Notamacropus eugenii: one gene and its partner. The protein of the gene in region 2 purifies or fractionates together with the protein of the main gene of each other region. This does not show direct contact. Links are inferred from orthologs where the notes say so. Each region holds a gene or a part of one and is shown on either strand. Other genes may lie near its edges.

What was found.
Region 1: the proteins of ASB6 (region 2) and RNF7 purify together in Homo sapiens (co-immunoprecipitation; 4 studies listed by BioGRID and IntAct, counting the BioPlex papers as one, with this or other methods). This does not show direct contact. The link is inferred for Notamacropus eugenii from reciprocal best matches to the Homo sapiens genes ASB6 and RNF7.

What each region holds. Positions count from the first base shown.
Region 1 is NC_092877.1:330,007,480-330,017,802, forward strand, and holds the start of RNF7 (RING-box protein 2), read left to right. Parts: upstream 1-5,334; 5' UTR 5,335-5,586; coding exon 5,587-5,761; intron 5,762-10,323. UniProt on the Homo sapiens protein: Catalytic component of multiple cullin-5-RING E3 ubiquitin-protein ligase complexes (ECS complexes), which mediate the ubiquitination and subsequent proteasomal degradation of target proteins.
Region 2 is NC_092872.1:481,160,343-481,171,095, reverse strand, and holds the start of ASB6 (ankyrin repeat and SOCS box protein 6), read left to right. Parts: upstream 1-5,879; 5' UTR 5,880-5,981; intron 5,982-6,111; exon of another isoform or gene 6,112-6,609; intron 6,610-8,601; 5' UTR 8,602-8,671; coding exon 8,672-8,784; intron 8,785-10,064; coding exon 10,065-10,246; exon of another isoform or gene 10,247-10,599; coding exon of another isoform or gene 10,600-10,753. UniProt on the Homo sapiens protein: Probable substrate-recognition component of a SCF-like ECS (Elongin-Cullin-SOCS-box protein) E3 ubiquitin-protein ligase complex which mediates the ubiquitination and subsequent proteasomal degradation of target proteins.

The DNA of each region.
Region 1 (10,323 bases), on a different chromosome or scaffold from region 2:
GCAGAGCAAATGGGAAAGAAGAGCTAGGAATGAAGGTGATTTCCTGAAAAATGGTGAATAAGTTCAATAAGCTGAGATCTCTTTGTTCTTATAGTATGCTGCTTTGAATTTGAGGGGCTCTTGTGCTAGGTAGAATATAGCTATGGTGGGAAAAGAAAATCTGGGAAATTTCAAGGCTCTAGCAAGTTGAATAAAAAAATTGTTCCAGTCCTAGAAAGATAAAAATCTATTGTGAAGTACTTATTGAACACTTACTACATGCATAGCACAATGTTTGGTACTATAGGGAACAGGAAAGAAGCAGGAGAGCTATTCATTCAACAAGCACCTGTTTAAAGCCTGCTATAACACTGGGTTTGGAGGTGGTGGAAGGCTAGAGGTTTGGATGGTAACTTATGGTCATTCAACTCATTTAATAAACATTTATTGAGCATCTTCTACATGCCAGAAGCTGGGCTAAGTGCTGGAGACAGAAAAAGAAATAGTCCCTGTGCTTAATGAGCTTGTTAGAAAGAAACAATATGCATGTAAAAAAGCAAATGCAGACTACATAAGAAGCAAAGAAATTTCTGGAGAGAAGGCACTAGCGACTTGGGGGATTGGGGAAGGGCTCATGTAGGAGATGGAATTTGAGTTAAGCCTTGAAGAAAACTTGGGATTCTATAAGGCAAAGATAAAGAGCAAGTGTATTCCAGGCATGGGGCAAAAGGCATGGATTCAGGAGGTGGAATGTTACATATGAAGGATAGTAAGCAGACCAGTCTACAGGCTAGACTAAAGAGTGCATGAACAACAGTAATGTATCATCAGTAAAGGTAGGCTTGAATCAGATTGTGGAGGGTTATCAAAATGCAAACAAAAGTGTTTATAATGAGATACTTTATTCAAAGTTTTGCTAGGCAAACTATATCCACATCACCTCATCCACTGGCACAGTCATCTAGTCAAAAAGGGAAATGGGGTTAGTGTGTTCATAATGAAGCCTGCAGACTCCTAGCTTGTTTTACAGATAAGGAAACTGAGATCCAGAAAGATGAAGTGATTTAGTCCGAGTGCGATTTTAGGCGAGTCATTTAACCTCACCGTACCTCAGTTTCTTCATCTGTAAAATGAGGGGACTGAACTAGATGAGCTCTAATGTCCCTTCCTAGGTCTAAATCTAAGATTATCTGATTATAAAGACAAAAAGACCAAAGCTAAGAACTGAGTTTTGGTGGATACCCATCATACCCCACTAAGCTGGATCAGTTAGAAGAGGAAGGAACCATTTGGCTGGGGATGGGCCTAGGGTGGTGGTGAGCCTGGGAGGGAGAATGGGGTGAGAGGAAGGGGAGAAGGGGGACTTATCAACAGATGCAAAGAAGCAGAGACAAAAAGATCTGTACACAGAGTCACAGGTCAAAACAACCAGGGATCAACTGTTCTCAAGCAGAGTCTGTTTATCAAACAGGAACTGCCAGGAAGAAAGATTTAAGCTAAATTAGAGTTCAGGTGCCAGTAGGTCAATAAGCTGAAGATAATAGAGTCTTGGATCAAAGGGCAGATCTTACTGGCAGTTCTTATGGGGGCAGCAGAGAAGCACCCTGAGGGTTTTACAGCCCATATCAACTGACCCTGTGCTCCCTAAAGTTACAATTTTGCTGAGATTCATTTATTTTAGATTCATTTAACAAAATTATTTAAATATTTATTTAAAAGAGAGAGAGAATTCCACCAGTCTTCCAAAGAAAAGAAATTTCAGAACACTTTTTTCACCCATAAAAAAATATTTTTTATAGAGATGATGGAAAAGGAAAGAGTAAGAATGAAGACAGACAAGTGAAGAAAAAGAGCAAAAATGGTCATATTTACTTTCTTGGAAAGTCTTGTGAAAGGAGTTTTTGAAGGGATGAAAGTACTTTTCTTAATAGAAACACAACAGGAAAATCACCATAGTACAGAAATACAAATACCTTCCTCCTGACCAATGCAACAACATAGCCAACTAAGATACAACATAACCAACTAGTAGACATTTGGTTAAGAAATAACCTTGTGCACAGGTTTTATAAATTGATGGGATGTAGGGAAAGTGGTTGAAGGCTAGGGCAGAGTCAAAGATGACAGGTTTTGTGCTTGGGTGAGACTGGAAGGCTACGGTGCTACTAACAGGAGTAGGAAAGCTGGACTAATCCTACGATTTAGAGATGGATTAGGTTTTAAGGCTTATCTGCTCCAACGCCCTCAGTTTACAGATGAGGAAACTGAAACCTAGGGAAATGGAAAGCTTTGGCTAAGGTCCCATGGGTAGTAAGCAGTACAAATAGAGTGGAGCCAGTTTTAGAGAGATGATGATAAATTCAGTTTGGACATACTGAGTTTGAGGTAATATCAGGACATCTAGGTAGAAATACTGGACCATCATTCAAAAAAAAAAAATCAGGAATGGTTATACAGATTTAGGAATCATCCCCATAGCTGTGATACCTGAAATCATGACAATGGATCCTCTCACCAAGGGAGAAAATATAAAGAGGAAAAGCAAGGGGTTATGATACTTCATCCTCTGTAAAAGAGGGGTAGACATAGTGAGGTATTAAAATATGAAAGATGGGGGTAAATAGAATTCCCAGTAGAAGATCACATTCTTCTCAGTACAATAGAAAGTGAGGTCATTTGCTGAGAAAAGTGGGGTAAATTTTGGGTCCAGATGCGAAAGGAGGTTTGCAAAATCCCCTGTGGAAAGTGTGACAAGGTGTTTATTAGAGATGATTAAAAGCTTTGAGGTTCATGATGGAAAATACCATCCACATCCAGAGAAAGAACTATGGAGTCTGAAATCAGATCGAAGCATACTATTTTCTCTTTCTCTCTCTCTTTTAATTTCTCATGGTTTTTCCCTTTCTATCTGATTCTTCTTTCACAACATAACCAAAGTGGAAATGTGTTTAATATGATTGTATATGTGTGTATAATATAGTATATACATATGTATATACAATGTATATTGTATATGTATACATATGTGTAGGTAGTATGTATTGTATATAGTATATATACATATATGTATATATACAGCCTATATCAAATTGCATGCTGTCTTAGGAAGGAGGGGAAATTCAGAATCAGAATTTTATAAAAGTGAATGTTGAAAACTAAAAATAAGTAAATGACAAGCACTGAGGTTAAAGAATGATTTCTAGTATCAGTATCTTATCAGTGCGTAGGTAGCCATAAGATGTCCTAAGCCTTACAGAGCGTTCTGTTGCATTTAAGGGTCGATGGCACATTGGTTTAAGTTTCAGAGCCTGAACATCTTTAACTGGGAAGATAATGTATTGCATATTCAATAAACCCTTCTACTCTTATTTGGGTAAGCTCCTTTTCCGCCATTCCTGCACAGTTCATATGACTCACAGCACCTGTGAAGGACAAGTCTTGGTTTGCTGGTTCACATCATAGCTTTGTTCCTCATTGCTCCTCCATTCTCTGTTATCCTGGGCTAGCCCCCTGCTTTGACATGCCTTTGACCCATGACTGGTTCTACATTCTGTCAGACACCAATTGCTTGCTTCTAGGGGGCCACATGGATTGCAAAATCTCACAAGATCACACTAATGCCAGTCAGGAGGACAAAAAGTAGATGGGAGGGATCTTTGCCCTCATCATCTGATCAAGACACTGTATAAACAAGTTACTCAGCATCTCCTTAACCTCAGACATGGAAGCAAATACAGGGAGGCTGCCATTATGCACAATATCCTTCTTATCCATGAGGTCCCTGTGCCACATTAATTTTTTTAAAATTTCCCTTAGTGCCTCCCAGTGTGCTATGAATATACTTACTGCCCACAAATAGTGGTTGCATGAATGAGTTCCAAATGTAGTGAGGGCTGTGCTCATCTTTGAGTACTTGGTAAATATTTGACTCGTCTTACATACAACCATAAATAATGGCCATGTTCAAATATGATTTCCCAATCAATATTTTTAGCACTGACCTCTCAAAAGATCTCCAATTCTGTACTTTTTGTCCATCCCTCCCCAAACCCCTGATGCTGAATGAGTCTAATTCATACTTTTCTCCCAATCCCTCTTTAAACTCAATCTATCATAATCAGTCCCTATGGTTGTCAATTGGCACTACTATACCTCAAATTCTTTCTTTCCCTTAACTTTTAATGTATAACTAAGCCCTCCTAGACTTCTGTTTCCACTTCAGTTGGACAAATTTAATGTTTCCAGGAATATTTCTGCCATCTCCCAACTGTGGTACCACATGCCACTCCTGCCTGGAGGAGCTTTCCTCCTTCTTTCAACCCATCTATTATCCTTTCCTTTTTCAGACTGCTCATTAATAAGCAACTACCTTTTTAGGCTTAGTCTGGTTGGGCTCCAAATTCTCTAAGTAATCCCACTGTGATCATCTTCCGCACTACCTCAGCTATCCAGCACTTACAGGTACCCAATAATTCCGTATAAATGATATTGATACTCACATACAGCTTTGTGAGGAATGTTCCTTCCCCCTCCCTCCCCTGTGCCCACTGCTGACTTAAGAAAACCCTAACGGGCTGAGGGCTGCCAGGGAGACGGCAAGAGGTCACCAGGAGAGTCGGGAGGAGACGAGAAGGACAGCCGGTATTTATGCGGCCCTTCACGCGTCTCGTCTCGCTGGGTCCTTCCACTTGGGCAGATAGCACCTCCCCACCGCGCAGAGGAGGAAGCTGAGGCCGCACGGGTTAAGGACCTGCTAATTTCATTTACGTAAATATTCTCCAACGGATCCTCCCGACGGCTCGGGGAGGTCTTACCGTGGAGAAGTTTAGGCAGAGGAAGGAAATCAGTGTATTGATCACCCATACGTGCCTGCATCGTACCAGGTGCTTTCCTAATATCCCACGTGATCCTCGCAGCAGCCCCGGAAGCTGAGAGGGCCTTTGTGATTCCTATTTTACAGACGGGGAAACGGAGGCAGCCAGTGGTGGCGCGCCTGGCCCAAGGTCACGGAGCTCGTGAGTACGGGAGGCAGGGTTTGAACTCGGCTCTCGCACAGGGGTAGGGAGCCTTACTCGGCTGATTCCTTGCCCTCTTTTACGAAGTGACTTCAAGCACTGGGGGCTCGGAAGGCCAGGGCTTAATTAAGCTCGGCACCGGGCCCAGGCCCTGCCCACATCAGGCCTCAGGGCTGCGGACTGCCGGTGCCCGGCCGAGGGCAGCGCTTTCGAGGGGCGACCAAGAACCCAGGACCACCCGCGGCAAGGTGAGCGCAAGAAGACACGCGCAGGGCAGGAGGGGGCGGGGCGGGGCCCGTTCAGCTCCGCCCCGGTGACGTAACCCAAGCGCAGGCAGAGTCGTCCAATCCTGGGCCGCGGCGCCGCGCCGGCGGGGCTGACGTCGGCGTGCTCAGCGGCGTGGTCGACGTCGGCGTCCGCGGGGGCGTAGGCGGCGGGCTCGGTAGCTAACGGTCGGCCGGCTCTTCCCTGCGGCCGCCTCTGGAGGGAGCTGCAGCCTCTCCCGAGGAGGCTTGGCCCCGCCGCCATAGCTCCCCGCCGCGCTCGCCCCAAGCCTCTCCCACGCCGGCCGGCCGGGCCCGCCCGCGCCGCCATGGCCGACGTGGAGGACGGAGAGGAGCCTGGCGCGCCGGCCTCGCACTTGGGCAGCTCGGGCTCCAAGGCCGCAGGCGACAAGATGTTCTCCCTCAAGAAGTGGAACGCTGTGGCCATGTGGAGCTGGGACGTGGAGTGCGACACGTGCGCCATCTGCCGGGTCCAGGTGATGGGTAAGCGCTGCCACGCGAGCCCGGGGCTGCCGCGAGGCCTCCGGGGCGTCTCCCTCCCCCACGCGGCCACGCACGCGCGCTCCTCCCCCGGCCCCCGTGGGGGGCCGACGTCTTCCGTGGGCCTCTGAGGAAGCAAGCAAGCGCGCGAACGCACGCACGTGTGAGCGCAGGCCCGCCCACCCGGGCCTTCTACCGACGGAGGGGGTGGGGGAGCGACGCGCTTTCCTGTCGAAGGCCCGCAGGCCGGCGTGAGACTGGGCCGGGTGTGGCCGACGGGGCCGCGCGTGGGGGAAACTGCTGAGCGCCCCCCGCCCCCGGCGGCCGCGCCTGTCAGACCCGCGGGCTCGGGGGTGCCGGCCCGGCCATCCCGAGGCGCCCCTGCCCGCCTGGTCCGGCCGTGGGGGGACCGGTCCGCAGGGACGGCGTGCTGCACCGAGACGAGTTTGATCACACTTAGAGTAAAGGAATCATGTGCCGTGTGTGATCGATAAGCTATGATTGATACGAGTTGGGACGTGCGTTTGCTTTTTATAGACCCGAGGCCCAGGCAGGTGAAGTCGTTTACTCCCAACCCTCCTAGGAAGAGTGCTGTTTAAATACAAATTACGAGAAAGAATGGAGGCAAAGAGAGGTTCATGTTAAAAAATAAAACCTTCTGTACTTGGGAACTAAAATATGAGTTTTAGAGTCATTAGAGGGGAAGTAAATTGTAGACAAGATTTTCTAATTAAGGGATGAGATTTTTAAGCATATTGGATTATCTTAAGCATCCTGTATCTTTTATCCTTTCATTTTGAGGATACTTTATAGTATTTATAGTGATTCAAATATATATATTTTAAGTTTTTTATCTTTTTTCTGTAGAATTTTGTTACAACTTAATGTTGATTCTTACTTTTCATGCTAGGGACATGATTTAATTTTTCCTCTGACATGAGAAATACGATCTCATTTTAAAATTTGGGTAGTGTTATTTTGTTGAGAGGGAAAAAAACCTTGATTTATTTTATTTAAAAGATTTCTAGTATTATTTTTCTTATGTAAAGCTGTGAAAAAACTTACTGTAAAGGAGTAGAAGTTCTGATTTTTTAAAAAGGAACATTTCAGTTTGTAGGTTAAAGGTTTGTTTTCATGGTGTCATTCATTGTGTTCATCCTTAAAGTGAAAATAGACCTCTAAAATGTTACATTTTGTTGAAAGTAAAAACATTTTCGGCTTCTATCCTGCATTCTGAAGGGTTAATATTCAGAAAGTAATTTTCTCTTTTTACCAAATTAATTACTTCAAACATTAAATAGAAATGTGGAAACCTATAGTGGCAGTTGATATTATATAACAAACATGCTTGAAGTATCCAATGCATGCATATAAGAATTCAAATGGCTGTAATTCTACCATCTTAGTTATAACACTTATTCCACAATTACCACGTTGATACAGATTTAGAGCAGTTAGGTTTTCTTAGTCTACAAGTATTTTGGAATGTATATTACATACAGACTTTTATTTATGGACTGCTAAAGTCCAGTGAGTATTCAGTCAATAATAATAGTGAGAGATTCATTTTTTTTTTAAACAAACCACTTCTGTCCTAAATTACTAATTAATGATCCTAATTACTACAAACTAAGTGACTGACAGTTAATAATACATTAAGTATAAAGAAGTAAATAATACCCTACTTAAGTTAGATATGAGCATCATGAAAATTCAGGCAGATTTTATGGTTAAAAAGATAAAAGTAGGATTTTATATTAGATCTCGTTCAGAGTTTTGATATCGAATATAAGCCAAGTCTTTGGGAACAAAGTCCAGATATGGTGGCATTTATGAAGAAAGTTTTTGTTCAAGTTTTGTATCCTATACAGTGCATTACTCATTTGAATAAAATGTGCATTGAGTAGACTGGGCCATCATTGCTGAAATTTTGGGATTTATTCCAGTTATCAGTGATTTCTTGTGATATCCTTGCTCAGAGGTTTGACTGTCTCCACTGGAATCTTTACTCCTGCTATTTAGGAAGGTGGCACAGTTACCAAGAGAGGAATTCAGGAAAGAGAGAAGAGGCATGCTATCTGTGCCAGCGGAGTACATGGATGAACCAGCAGGGGAGTGCTCCTAAGGTTCCTTTTAGGATTTCTGTACAAAGTAATGATGTATTGGGGGACATGACTGAGAATACTAGAGGTGGTATGTATGTGCTACAGTCAGGAGGAAAGGGGAGGAATGTGAGAGGGCATCTAAGAGGTGCCATAGGCTTTCAGATGTACCAAGAGTTTTAGGTGTGGCCTAGTAAAGAGAGTATCAGACTGGGTTAGAACACCAGTTGTATGACCTTAGACACGTCCATCACTTTACCCCCTGGTTCCTAGTTTCTTCATGCAGAGTCAGAGGTGACCTGAGGAGATGGGGAGTTAATTTGTTTCATCTTTCTTCAGTGTCATGAGGCCAGGATTTCTTGTCTACCTAGAATAGGCCTAGTGTTTTAAATGTACTTTTCTCTACAAAAGGATAGTTGTGGCCTTATTCAGCAAAGTATATCTTGAGGAAAAAAAATCTGTAGAATGTTATATCTCTTTATAGAACAACTATTAAAAGCATTGAGAAGGAAAATAAATGTGAATTATAGTATATTTGTTTTTCAGGAAAATGTTTTCTACCTTCAGCATTAAAAGCTGTTCGCTACTATTTTTTGTCTTCCTTTTAGCTTATTAAGAATCACATCTAATGTTCTGGTAGCTATATTCAAAATTTTAATTTTAAATAAAGTACAATGGAGAAATTTTAATATTACAATAAGTGTATCTTCCTATTATACTTGAAATTTAGGTGGTGTATGCCTCTTATATTTAATGGACCTTCCTAGACTCTTATTTCACAATGGCTTTTTAAAAGCCAAAATACTGGGCACAGGATCAAATGAAAATGAGAGTCAACTAGGTGGCTAGTGAACGGAGGCTTGGACCTCAGTTAATATCCTGCCTCAGAGATGACTGAGAAATCCTGGGCAGGTTACATGATCTGTCTCATCTGTAATATGGGGTAGAGTAATAAAGTTGTAGTGAGAATCAGATGAGATCTAAAGGGCTTTGCAAACCTTAAGCTCTCTGTAAATGCTAACGATGTAGTACTTGGATGAGGAAACTTTCCCTGATCACCCAGAAAATCCTGGTTCAAAAACAGATTTCAAAAATTGTTTTCTTGATATCTGAAGCTACAGAAACCATGAACTTTTCCTTCATGTACATAAGTCAAATGTTATTAAGCATCTACTGGTTTCCTATCTGTGTGCTTAAGGATATAGAAAGAATTGTACCTTTAGAAGGTAGAAGGAACCTCCAAGTCTCTACCTGTCTAACCCCTTTCTTTCACAGGTAGAGATACTGAAAACAGAAGCAAAGAAACTCCAGGTCACACAGGTAGCGAGTAACAGTATTTGAGCTCATGTTTTACAAGACAAAGTATTCTGGCCCTTAAAGATTTTACATTCCTAGTGGAGAGAGAAAATGTGAATGGTTTCTGTAGTAAAGATCATAGGGAAAAGTTCTAGTCAGGGAAAAATAGTGGAGGTCTAAGCCTTGAGCTTAGCCTGCAGGGAGTTGGTGTAGCAGAGGAGGGAGGAACCACCTGTCACACTGAGCCCAGTGTCATGGAAAGAGGAGAGGACACTGGCTTGTTGCTGGAAACATTTGGAGATAGGGTTGGTCAGGAAGACGCAGCCTGAAATACCCATCTAATTTTAGAGCTAGAGTATCCTTAGAGAACTAATCCACCCTCTTTTATGGATCAGGACCCCCAGAAAGGTTAAGGGTTAAAGGTCACACTGCTATAGTTCAAGGAGGGAACCTGATCCTAGTGTTTTTTTCTCATGGTGACACTTTTGTCATTAATCTTTTTAACAGAGGCAGCTAGATAACCCAGAGTGCTGGACCTGAAGTCAGGAAGACCTGAGTTAAAATGCAGGCCTAAGAGACTTACTGTGTGACTCTGGGCAAGTCCCTTAACCCCTGTCCGCCTCATTTTCCTTATCTGTAAAATGCAGAGGATAATAACAGCACCTACCTCCCTGGGTTGTTGTGAAGGGAAAAAATAAGGTAATATTTGTAAAGCACTTTTCAACCCTTAAAACATTGTGTAAATGCTAGCAATTATAATTATTGTTAGCAAAATAATTGTTATTATTAACAGCTGTTTACTCAGAGGTAACCTACTATATCTGTGATAGTAGGTAAGCACCCTTAAGTTCAAGTCTTTGTACACACTGGGCTCTCTTAAAGAGAATTTAAAATGAGGCATACCAGGAATCCTCCCCCAGCCAGGGAGCTAGTACATTTCCGTGGTACCTGGAATGCTTAATACTTCCCTCTCTTTACTTTCCTGTTCTCAAGGTTTTCCACGCCAAAGGATAACTAGTTTTTACAAGTTATTCATAGTTAAGTGATTACTTACATTTCAGATAGATAAGACAACAACAGAGGCAACAACATGGCATAGTCCAGTGGGAAGTTTTAGATTTGCAGTCAGAAGATTACTATCTATGTGACCTTGGATGTCAGTGGGCC
Region 2 (10,753 bases):
TTATCACCTTTGATTCTCACAACAACCTTGTGAAGTAGGAGATATTATCATTATAGCCATTTTAAAGATGGGTAAACTGAGGCTTAAGAGAAGGTAAATGGCAGCCCTAGGGAGTTATAAAGAAATATAATAGGTTGGTTCCTGCACTAGAAGACATTATGGTCTTGGGTTCAACATGTATTTCCTGGGAACATACCCCAAATAGTAGAGTGTAAGCCAATGGAAAAATAAGATTCAAATAGTTGAAATTTATTTTAGGTCAGCTTTTTGGTATCTCACACATAAGCATAAAGTAAGTCAGGGTGAGGTAGCAGGAAGCAGAGGAGGCAGAGGAAAAAAGCAGTCTTGAAATAAAATTTTCTTGGCATAACAAGTTCTGGGCTTCCTCTTTTCTCCTTCCAACCCTATCTTTGCCTTGTCCTCAAGCTCATTCCCAAGTGCTGCAGGAGTGATTCATCCTGGCCTCCATCAGAACCAAACATTGGGATACATGTTCTGACAAAGATATGTGACCCTGAGCAGGTCAAATCATCTCTCTGTGCTTCAGACAACCTTCTCAGCGTTGTAAGTTACAGGGAGGTTGTGGTGTCCTTGTTCCTTCTCCTTTTGCCCTCTCCACCATCTATGATTTTACTTATCAGCTTTGCAAAGCTGCCAAAATTGTATACAGTTTTCCTATTGGTGTCCACAGGGAAGGGTTCATGGGATCATCCATTCATTTAACAAACATTCAATAAGGAAGGGCTCTTTGCAGAACAAATTGATGACATATAAGGGCCTCAAAGTGATTGTTAGTCCTGGGCAGAAGGTCTTTCTGAAGCTGGGTGATAAGGGACCACAGACCTAGACTTGGAAGGCCCCTTGGATGCCAACTAGTCCATCCCCCCCTGCCATTTTGTAGATGGGGAAACTGAGGATGAGAATTCATGAAGGGGCCAGCACTCTAGCTGTACCACTAGAAGTGTCAAGAGCCCTTCAGCCCAGTCATCTGTCATCCCGGCTGAGCACATATGATGTTCATGGCTCTAGATGTGTGTCATGTGGGCGAGGGTGTGAATCTCAATGTTTCTTCAGCCTACATTTCTCCATTTTCGGTGACTTATGTATATTTTTATTGCAATGCTTACTGACTTGATTCATTCAGTTACTATTTGCTGAAATATTGGAATTTCCTTGACATTTCAATGGTTTATGGCATAATGGAGAACCAGCACTGAAAGATTCGGTGATTTGCTCCGAGTCATACAATCAGTATGGGTCAGAACAAGATTAAGTAATGCAGTGGATTGAGCGCTGGCCCTGGATTGAGGAGATCCTAAGTTCAAATGTGGCCGAAGATACTAACTAGCAGTGTGAGCTTGGGCAAGTCACTTAACCCTGTTTGCCTCAGTTTCCTCACCTGTTAAATAAGTTGGAGGAGGAAATGGCAAACCAGCATCTTTGACAAGAAGACCCCAAATTGGGTCAGGAATAATTGGTCATGAATGAAAAGAAAACAGCAACAATTTGTAGTTTGTTGATTTCCTAGGTGTCTATGCTCACACTGAAAATTTAAAAACTGGTTCCCCAAGACTATTTTAGCTGACTTCAGCACACTCTTGAGGATCTTTCTAATAATACACCCTCCATAATTATCAGCTGATATCAGTTTATCAGCTAGATTTAATTAGCATTTAGAAAGGCAGATTCTACTAAGGTAGTACAGGAAGAAGAGTAGGAGCACCCTTCCCCAACTCCTTCCTACTCCCCATCCCCCATTCAGTGATAACTACAAAATCCAAAGAAAAGTTGGCCCAAACTTAGGGACTCCATGTGGCAATAGGTAATTCATAAGTCTTTCCCCCTCCTTCCTGAAGTTCCCCACAGGGATGTGAAGCTTTTATTCTGGGTTTCCTCTTGGGGTTCTGAAGCAGCCATCCTTCAGTGTGTCAGGTTTGTCCTAGGCTCTGACATCTACTGTCCCAGGGAGAAGCTTCCAAATCCTCCCTCTCCAAAGTTTGAAAGGGGGAAAGGGAGAAGAGAGAGGCAAAGGCCAATTTTTTTCTCAGTGGTTTATCTGGGATGGCTTCCACCACTAAGCTGCTAGGAGCAGGGAGATTTCTGAATTACCTTGCTAATTTTATAGAAAACCCACAGAGTGTGACTGAATTCCCTCAACTAATTAGAACAGACTTCCTGTCGCACCTCGTTGACATGCCTTTGATTAGCTGATTTCATAGATATATCTAAGTGTTCTTCACATTTATTCACTTTTCTGATTGATTGACTCATTGGAGGTGTTCTCCTCTGACAAAAGTCTCAGGGCTTGGATCTTGTTAGTTACTTTAAGTGTGTGAAAGGATGTGCTAGATGATCAGGGTTAACCCCCATCCTAACACACATTAAGTATTTTACAAACCTTAAATTACTATAGAAATGAAGGTTGTTAGCCTTATTCCATCATGGTGGAGAACCTGCTAAGGTTTAGGCTCAGTTACATGCCACCACCACCACAAGGCATTAGAACAAGGCTTGGACAACACCAGTTTTTCCCAGCTGTGTTTCACATTATCTCTCTTTGTTCCAAACATAGGTGGACTACTGGTTACTCCAGCCTCATGCTACCTCCTGCCACATCACGCATTCAGCTAGGCTCGGAAGGCCTCCCTGTAATCCCTTCTTATTGATATCTTTCCCAGACCCAGCACAAAGTGTTACCTTCTCCAAGTGTCCTCACCCTCCTTGAATTTTTAATAGATCTTTTTTTTTGGTATTCTAATTATTTGTGCAGAGGTCTGATTCCATCTTGTTTGACTCTAAGTTTCAGGAAGGCAGGGAGTATGACCTTTTTTTTAATCTTTCCACTGGTCCAAGGCTACCCAGTGCCAATCACAGGGCCTCACACACCGTAAGAGCTTAATCAATGTTTTTCTGAATAGTTGAGCCCCAGGACTACAATTTTGAAGCCATGCTGCCCCCTTGTGGTTATTGATAATACATTCTCCCTTGCTTGATGAGAACTTTTCTGATTATCCAGAGTGAATCCCCATCCCCTGAAAGCCTTGTTCCGGCTGTGCAATAATGAGGAAAAGTGGAAGAAGAGAGCTTGAGGGCTCTTCGGCCTTTATCCTGCCTCTGAACTCATCCTAGTCACCATAACCATTCATGAACAATGAATGCTCCCATTCCCCTTGCCATACCCTTGGTCCAAGTGTCCTGATCATAGAGAATCCTAGAGCCCAAAGAGCCAGGGAACTTTTTGAGATTAACTGCCAGAGCTAGATGGGACCTCAGAACACAAAATCTTTCTCCTTAGCTTTAATCTTGCATTCAACCACTGTCTACACATCACCACCTAGATTGCCCTTTGGTACTGAGAATTCTACACATCCCAAACCAAATTTACATTCATGGTCCCCTCTAAATTTACCCCTCCTGTCCATTTCTCCTCTAAATTCCGTTGACAATGCTGCCTAATTATGCGGGCTCAAAACCTTAGAATGACTTCTGATCCTTCCCTCCTCCTCCTCCTTCACACCTATCCTCTCTATCTCCAAGTGCTGTAGACAACACCTCACTCTTGCAACTGTCCCCCTTTTCTTCCACTTACATGGCCACCACTGTGGTTTGGGTCCTAATCACCTCTGGCTTGCACTCTAGTAATCATTTTTAAAAATAGATTTTTCTCCAGTCTCTCTGACTTCTGTTTGAGTCATATAAGCCTACCTGAATCTTTCTAAGGCACAGTTGATGTCACTTCCCTCTGAAAAACCTTCAATGGCTCTCTATTGCCCTTGGGATGAAGATATAAACTCTTTAGCCTGACATGTAAGGTCTTCTACAATCCAACCCTAACAAACCTTTCTAACTTCATTTCACAGTACCCCCCTTCACCCAGTCTTTGTATCAATACAGGTGTCCCTCTCATCCCTTCTCATTTTAGACTCAAAATTCTTTTATTGTGGCAGCTCTTTTTGTAGTAACAAAGGAATTGGAAACTAAGGTGTCCATCCATCGGTAAATGACTGGATCAATTTTGATATATGAATACAATAGAATACTATTGGGTCACTAGAAATGATGAAAAGGATAGTTTCAGGAAAACCTGGGAAGACATGTTTGAAATGATGCAGAGAAAAGTGAATAGAACCAGGAAAACAACTTATGCAATAACAACACTGCAAAGACAGACGGCTGAGAAATGCAACAACGTTGTTCAGAGGACTGATGACGAAGAATGCCAGAGGGATGATGGACTCACTATACAGAGGCAATGGGGGTTCAGTGACTTGCCCAGGGTCACACAGCTAGTAAGTATAAAGTGTCTGATGCTGGATTTGAACTCAGATCCTTGTGACTCCAGGGCAGGTGCTCTATCCACTGTGCCACCCAGATTCCCTTAGACACACATTTTTAGACATAGCCAATGCAGGAATTTATTTTTGCTTGATTCAATTTAATTCAATAAACATTCATTAAGTGCCTACTATGTGCCCAGCTGGCACTGTACTAAGCACTGGGGATACAAATAAGAAAAAACAAAGACTGCTTCTGCCTTTGAGGGGCTTATAGCGACAATGTAATCAGGGAAGACAAAAAAGGCTTAGGGGGGAGTTGAAAGGGTGCTTAATTATGATTTTGCATATTTGTCACATATTTCTCTATTTTTATTTTTTTTTCCAATGGAGGGTTGTGGGAGGGACAGACTATAAATGCTGGTTAATTAAACATAATTAAATTGTTGAAAAGGAAAAAAAAAGGAAATTTCTCTTTGTTCTTGATTCACCTTAGGTATCACCTCCTCCACAAAGCCTTCCTTGATTTTTCTAGTTGAAAATGATTGCTCCCTCCTCAAATTTTGGTAGAGAATTTCGAATGGATTTTTCCTACGTCCCAATCATATTCTACCTTATATTCTACTTTATAGGACTATAGATTTTGAGCTAGAAGGGCCCTTTGAGGCTAGCAGGTCCAATCCCCTTATTTTACAGGTGAGGAAACTGAGCCAGCAGAGATTGAATGACTTGACCAGGGTTAAACTTATTTGTACACGTTTCTCATATCCCTGAAGTAACGTGGTACAATGGAAAGTTTGTTTTTGCAGTCAGAAGGCCTGTGTGGAAATGCTGGGGCCTCTGGGGGCAGATCACTTAATGTCTCCGAGTCTCAGTTTTCTCATTTATAAAATGAGAGGATTTGACTAGATGACCTCTAAAGTCTTTCCTAGCTCGCCCTCTGTGGTTCTTGTGTGTAGGTGCCGCCTCATTTTTTCATCTTTTATATCCACACGTCTTACATGGCTCCTGTCTATCATGTTACAGTAGGCTTTATTAAAAGTCGAACACGTTGGATTTTTTGTTGTTTGGGCTCCTTTAACAATTTCCTTATAGGCCAAGGAGGAAAGAAAAGAAAGTAAAAGCTATCCCATCGACTAAACTGCAAAGGCTTTCCTCTTTTAGCTTTTCATCTTGATTTTTTTTAAATTTAGGAGATCCTGTCACATCCCTTTTGAAAACAGACAGGATGTTCCCCATATGTCAAGGATTACAGGTTTCCACCAAAAAACAAATCAAAAACCCAACAAAACCGAAAAACAAAAATAAAACTTTTCTATTGAATGAAGAGAACGTCAGGAGTTAAATGTCACAGTTAAGAAACACTTCAGAGACTATTCTGTGTAGGCCCCTCATTTCACAGATGGGGAAAACTCGGACAGGTAGAGAGGCCAGGGATCTCCAGTTCTCAGCCCAGCCCCATTGCCTAGTCGCGGGAAAGTTCTATCGCGCCCCGCCCCTCCTCGCCCCGCCCCGCCCCGCCCCTCCTCGCCCCGCTTCGCATCACTTCTCGTCGCCCTGTCCTGCCCCTCCGGCCCACAAGGGGGCGCAAGGCGTAGGGATCCCTCCGCTCCAGTACCTTCTGCCGCTTCCGTTCTCTTCCTCCAGACAGCTGCCGTCACCTCCGGTGCCGGGTTCCCTGCAGCTTCGGACGCGGGATCGATGAGGGTGAGCGGGGCCGGCCGCTGGAGCTATGGGGCACCCGGGCAGGCGCAGGGCTGAGGGGCCGGGGTGGTGGCTCGAGCCGGAGTCTCGGGAGGGAAAAGGGCGGAGGGCAGGGCTGGAATCGGGGCCGCCTGGGCCGGGCCGGAGACGCAGCTCCGGCCCATTGCCGCGCGGGTCCTGCCGGCGTCTCCTTGGGGCGCGATCCGAGGGGCCCGGCGTCTCACCCTGCCCTGCATCCCTGACAGGCGGTCATCCGGCCTCGGACTGGGCACCGCCGCCGAGGGGGAGCTCGCTGCTTAGCCCGGCGGCCATTCTCTGCAGGGCAGTGTTAACTCTTAGGAAGTCTTTCCCCCCGGCCGATGGCTGCTCGGCAACCTCCATGGCTGCACCCAGCTCTCCTCAGGGTGAAGCCGAGCCCCGCACTCTCCATCCTGTGCTTGCTGCCTTCTCCAGGGAGCCTCCTGCCCTCCCCTCGTAATAATTGACAGCTCACCTGGAGGGATTTAAAGTTCTGAAAGAAGACAGCCACGTTCTTTGGCTTGAGTCTTCTCCGCGTTTTGTAGATGAGGACACGCAGGCCCAGAGAAGGAAAGCGAATTGCCTAGGTCACAGGGGGAGCTCGTTTGCCCCGGTCAGTACCTTGTCCTCTGACATAGCACAGAGACGGCCTCTTCACCAGCCTGTCCTGTCCTGTGTCCTGAAGACGTGTGTGTGTGTGTGTGTGTGTGTGTGTGTGTGTGTATTCTACCTGAATATTGTTTTGGCGCAGCTATTTTCTAGCTGTGTGGTCTTGGACAGTTCATTGCCAAGAGCTTCAGTTTCTTTTAATGAGATTTCAAGGAAAATATTGTGCAACCTTTAAAACACTATGGAAGGCACAGTGGGAAGGCACTCCCTACCCAAAGTGCTTTGCCATGTGTCTTTAACTTATACGACATAAGTGTAAGAAAGTATATAAATACGTAGGCTTTGCCACTTATTTACGTGATGACTGGAGAAATAACTTCCCCTCTCTGCTTTCAGATGCATGCTTAGTAAATGTTGTTCAGTTGAACTGAACGCAGCCTCTTGGGTGTTTAGGGATCTCAATTCCATACAGCTAGTGTAGATGCAAGCATTTATTTGACATATATTTATGATGCTATGTGTAGAGAGCATTGTATCCCACAGTGGGAAGAGAGGCAGGTAAGATGACATAGTCCTTCATGCCATGGAGGTCACAGTTTGGTAGGGGAATCAAAAATATATTACTATAAGCAGAAATCATACAGAACTATAATGTAGGAAGTACTATATATAAGCAGATTATTGTGTTATATATAAGCATGATATTATATATAAACTTAAGGGAATCACCACGTGTGACTTGAGGTGCCAAGGAGGAAAGATAATGCATTTATGTGGAAGAAGGATTAGACCTGCTCCCCATGGGACCTCTAGAGGGCAGGCCTAGGAGCCAATGGGGTAGAAGTTACTTACAGTGAGGCCGCTTTCTGCATAATCTAAGGAAACCTTGCCAGCAGTGAAGATCTGTACAAAAATGTGCTGGGCTGTCCAAGGAGATCACTGGGAAACATCAAAGAGAAGCCGGATGACCATTTCTTGGGTTGTTGTAGGGGGAATTCCCATTCAGAAATGGGTTAGATTAGATAACATCCAATGTCCCTTTCAACTCAGAGAAAACCTGACTCATGCATTAATTCAGCAAATATTTATTAAGTATCTCTTATGTGACTGTACTGCCCTAGGTGCAGGGGAAGAGACAAAGATGAATTAAACATCATCTCTATTCTCAGGGAACTTATAGCAGTAGTTCTTTTTTAAAAATTATTTTTATTTATTTGATTAAATATTTCCCAGTTAGGGGTAAAAAAAATTTTAACAGTGATATTTAAAATTTTGCGTTCTAAATTCTCTCTTCCCCTCCTTGAGAAAGCAAGTAATTTGATTTCAGTTGTACATGTGAAGTCATGAAAAACATGTTTCCGTTAGCCATGTTAAAAAGAAAACACAAAGTAAAACAAAGTGTTTTTTTTAAAAAGTGTGCTTCAATCTGCATTCAGAGTTCATCAGTTCTCTCTGGAGGTGGACAGCATTTTTCATCATGGGTCCTTTGGAACTGTCTTGGATCGATCATCCAACTAGTAAATGTTGTTTATCAGTGTAGCAGCAGTAGTTCTAATGTCATAGCAGTCCCTGGCACCTTGTCTGTATTGCTGATAGCCTCCTCCCTGAGCCTCACTATCTATAAAACACAGCTATGGAACACTCAGAGGCTTCTTATAGGCTAAAAGATGAGAGTGTTTTCATTTGGGTGGGCTTAAGAGACATTGTGATGTGGATATTACTTCCTGGGCTAGAACTCGGGAGACATGGTTCTGTCACTCTGCTCTGTCAAACATGAACTGTATGATCTTAGGATAGTCACTTGACTTCTCAGGGTCTTAGTTTCTTCAGCAGTAAAATGAGGGTGTTGGACTATAAATGATCCTAAGTTACTGTTCAACTCATAATAGTCTGTGATTCTTTACTTTTTTTATGCACGTCTTATTTTCTGAAGCAATATAGAAATGCTTAGAGACTCCACTAAGGGAATGAACCCAGATCAATCTCTTGATTTCAGAGAAAACCAGCCCTTAACTCTTGCAACTGATGCAAGAGTCTCGTTTGGGAACTCCGACCAAACTGCCACAATGCCCTTTCTGCATGGCTTCCGGAGGATCATTTTTGAGTACCAGCCTTTGGTAGATACAATTTTGGGATCTCTGGGGATACAAGATCCTGACAGACAGGACAGTCTGGAGAGGTAATTACATTTTTTTTCCTCTATGGTTTGTTTAAAGCAGTGAAGGCTACCTGATACTTATGGAAAGTGGAGATACAAGCTTTCTGACAATGAATTCTGTAACTGGGGCAAAGATGAGAGAGCCAGTACCAGTCTTTAGGAAGCAGTGAATCAGGAATCAGGGTACTGTATTCACGGGGTCATAGCCCAGAATTTTAACCAAGACTTTGTGGTTTTAGAGAAACCTACATTTTTGCCTCAGTTTTCTTCCTCCTTGTATCTTGATATCCTCTATCTGTAATAGAGATGAATGGAGATAGTGCCTTTGTATCAGTACATCATATTCAAGTGTGTCTCTGAAGTTGCGTGATCTGGCCATCAAATCTTTTTAACGTGCATCTGAGGAGCAAACCCTTACAGAATACTACGTTAAATCCTTTTGGAAGGGGAAAAGTCACTCCCCTAATATGCCTTCTGTGGCAACCTACATTTTCATGTATTAGATTTACCTGAAAATTGAGGCATAACTATGTCCTATAATGTCCTTTAATGACTAGTATCGTCTCAGCATTTACAGTTTTGGCCAGTGGATGTGCATGAACCTCTGTAGGAAAGTTTCCATATAATTTTTAGGAAACCATTTGTGGCTAAAAAGCTTCCAACTATGTTGGGAAAAAAAACAACTACATACTGTTATAAGGTTTGGATGATCACGAAAGATCCCTTTCACCTCTGACATTCTGTAATTTAGACTTGTTTTAATTTTCATATAAAGGGAGTCTGTTTAGGAAGGAGTGTGTAAAAATAGGGTAGAAAAATAGATTGCCTTTTCATCATTCTGGAATTACTAAGAGCAATGATAGATTGAATTCTTGATACTTGTAGTATTTTTTTAACTTGATATCCCAGCTCCTTGACATTGCTGACCAAATCAGTCCCAAGTGTATAGCTTCACACTGAAGGCATCCCATCAGGCAGTAATCTGAGAAAGCATCCAGAGAAGCCAGTGAGAGGAACCTAGGACTTTGTAAATCTCCAGTATTCAACACTGGCATGAGGTCTCATTCAGCAGATAAATATCATTGTATAAAAAATTGTCAGAAAATTTTTAGAGCTGAGCAAATGATCAAATGGGCAATTTTAGTACAGGACTAAACCATAATACTGAGGCAGGCATTTTTCTTTTTTAACATAGAGCAGGTCTTCAAGAAGGTATTACCCATTCATACCAGATGTCTTATGTTTGGGCCTCATTCCAGTGTGTTCCCTTCTAACCTTCTGGTTTCCTTCCTATGTCTTAGCCCAACTTACCTGGCTGATGATGGAAGTCGGGTCCTTCTTCTCAATGAGCTATTGGAGAGGGAGGCGCATTCCCCCTTTTACCAGGAAGGTGTGAGCTATTCCTTGCTGAAGATGGCAGAGCTTGGGCTGACACATGCGGCTGACACCCTGTTGCAGAATGGAGCTAACCTCAACTTTGAAGGTCAGTTGATTAGTGGTGTTTCATTCTAAAATAGTTTCTCTGACAGCCCTAGTAGGGGCTGAGCAGGCAGCTTAAGAGTGAGATCATACCTTGGTGTAAAGGCCAGGCCTTGGATGTTTCTGGTTTTTTGATTCCTCAGGTGTCACTTTAATTTTTATTGTTTAAGCTCTGAAAGCAGCTTTCAACTTGTGGGCAAATGCCTAATGAGGGGGAGAAGAGGACTTGGCTGAATGCCTCCTCCTCTCTCTGCCTTTTAAATGGTTCTCTTGCCACCTCTGTTCTAGCTGAAGCCTGTCTTTGCTTCAGCTCCTCCTGTGTGATTGATTTAGCAGCCTTTCCCCAAGTCCCCAGTTATGTCGCCTCTCCCATTAACGTTAATGAAAATGTGCCTGCTGGCACTGAGCCCAGGCCTAAGAGAAGATAATTTCTTGCTGCTTTTCTCTGAGCTGTCTTGCAGTTTATTTGTTAATACCGTGTGGAGAGGAGAGCAGATAAGCTGCTTTGGGC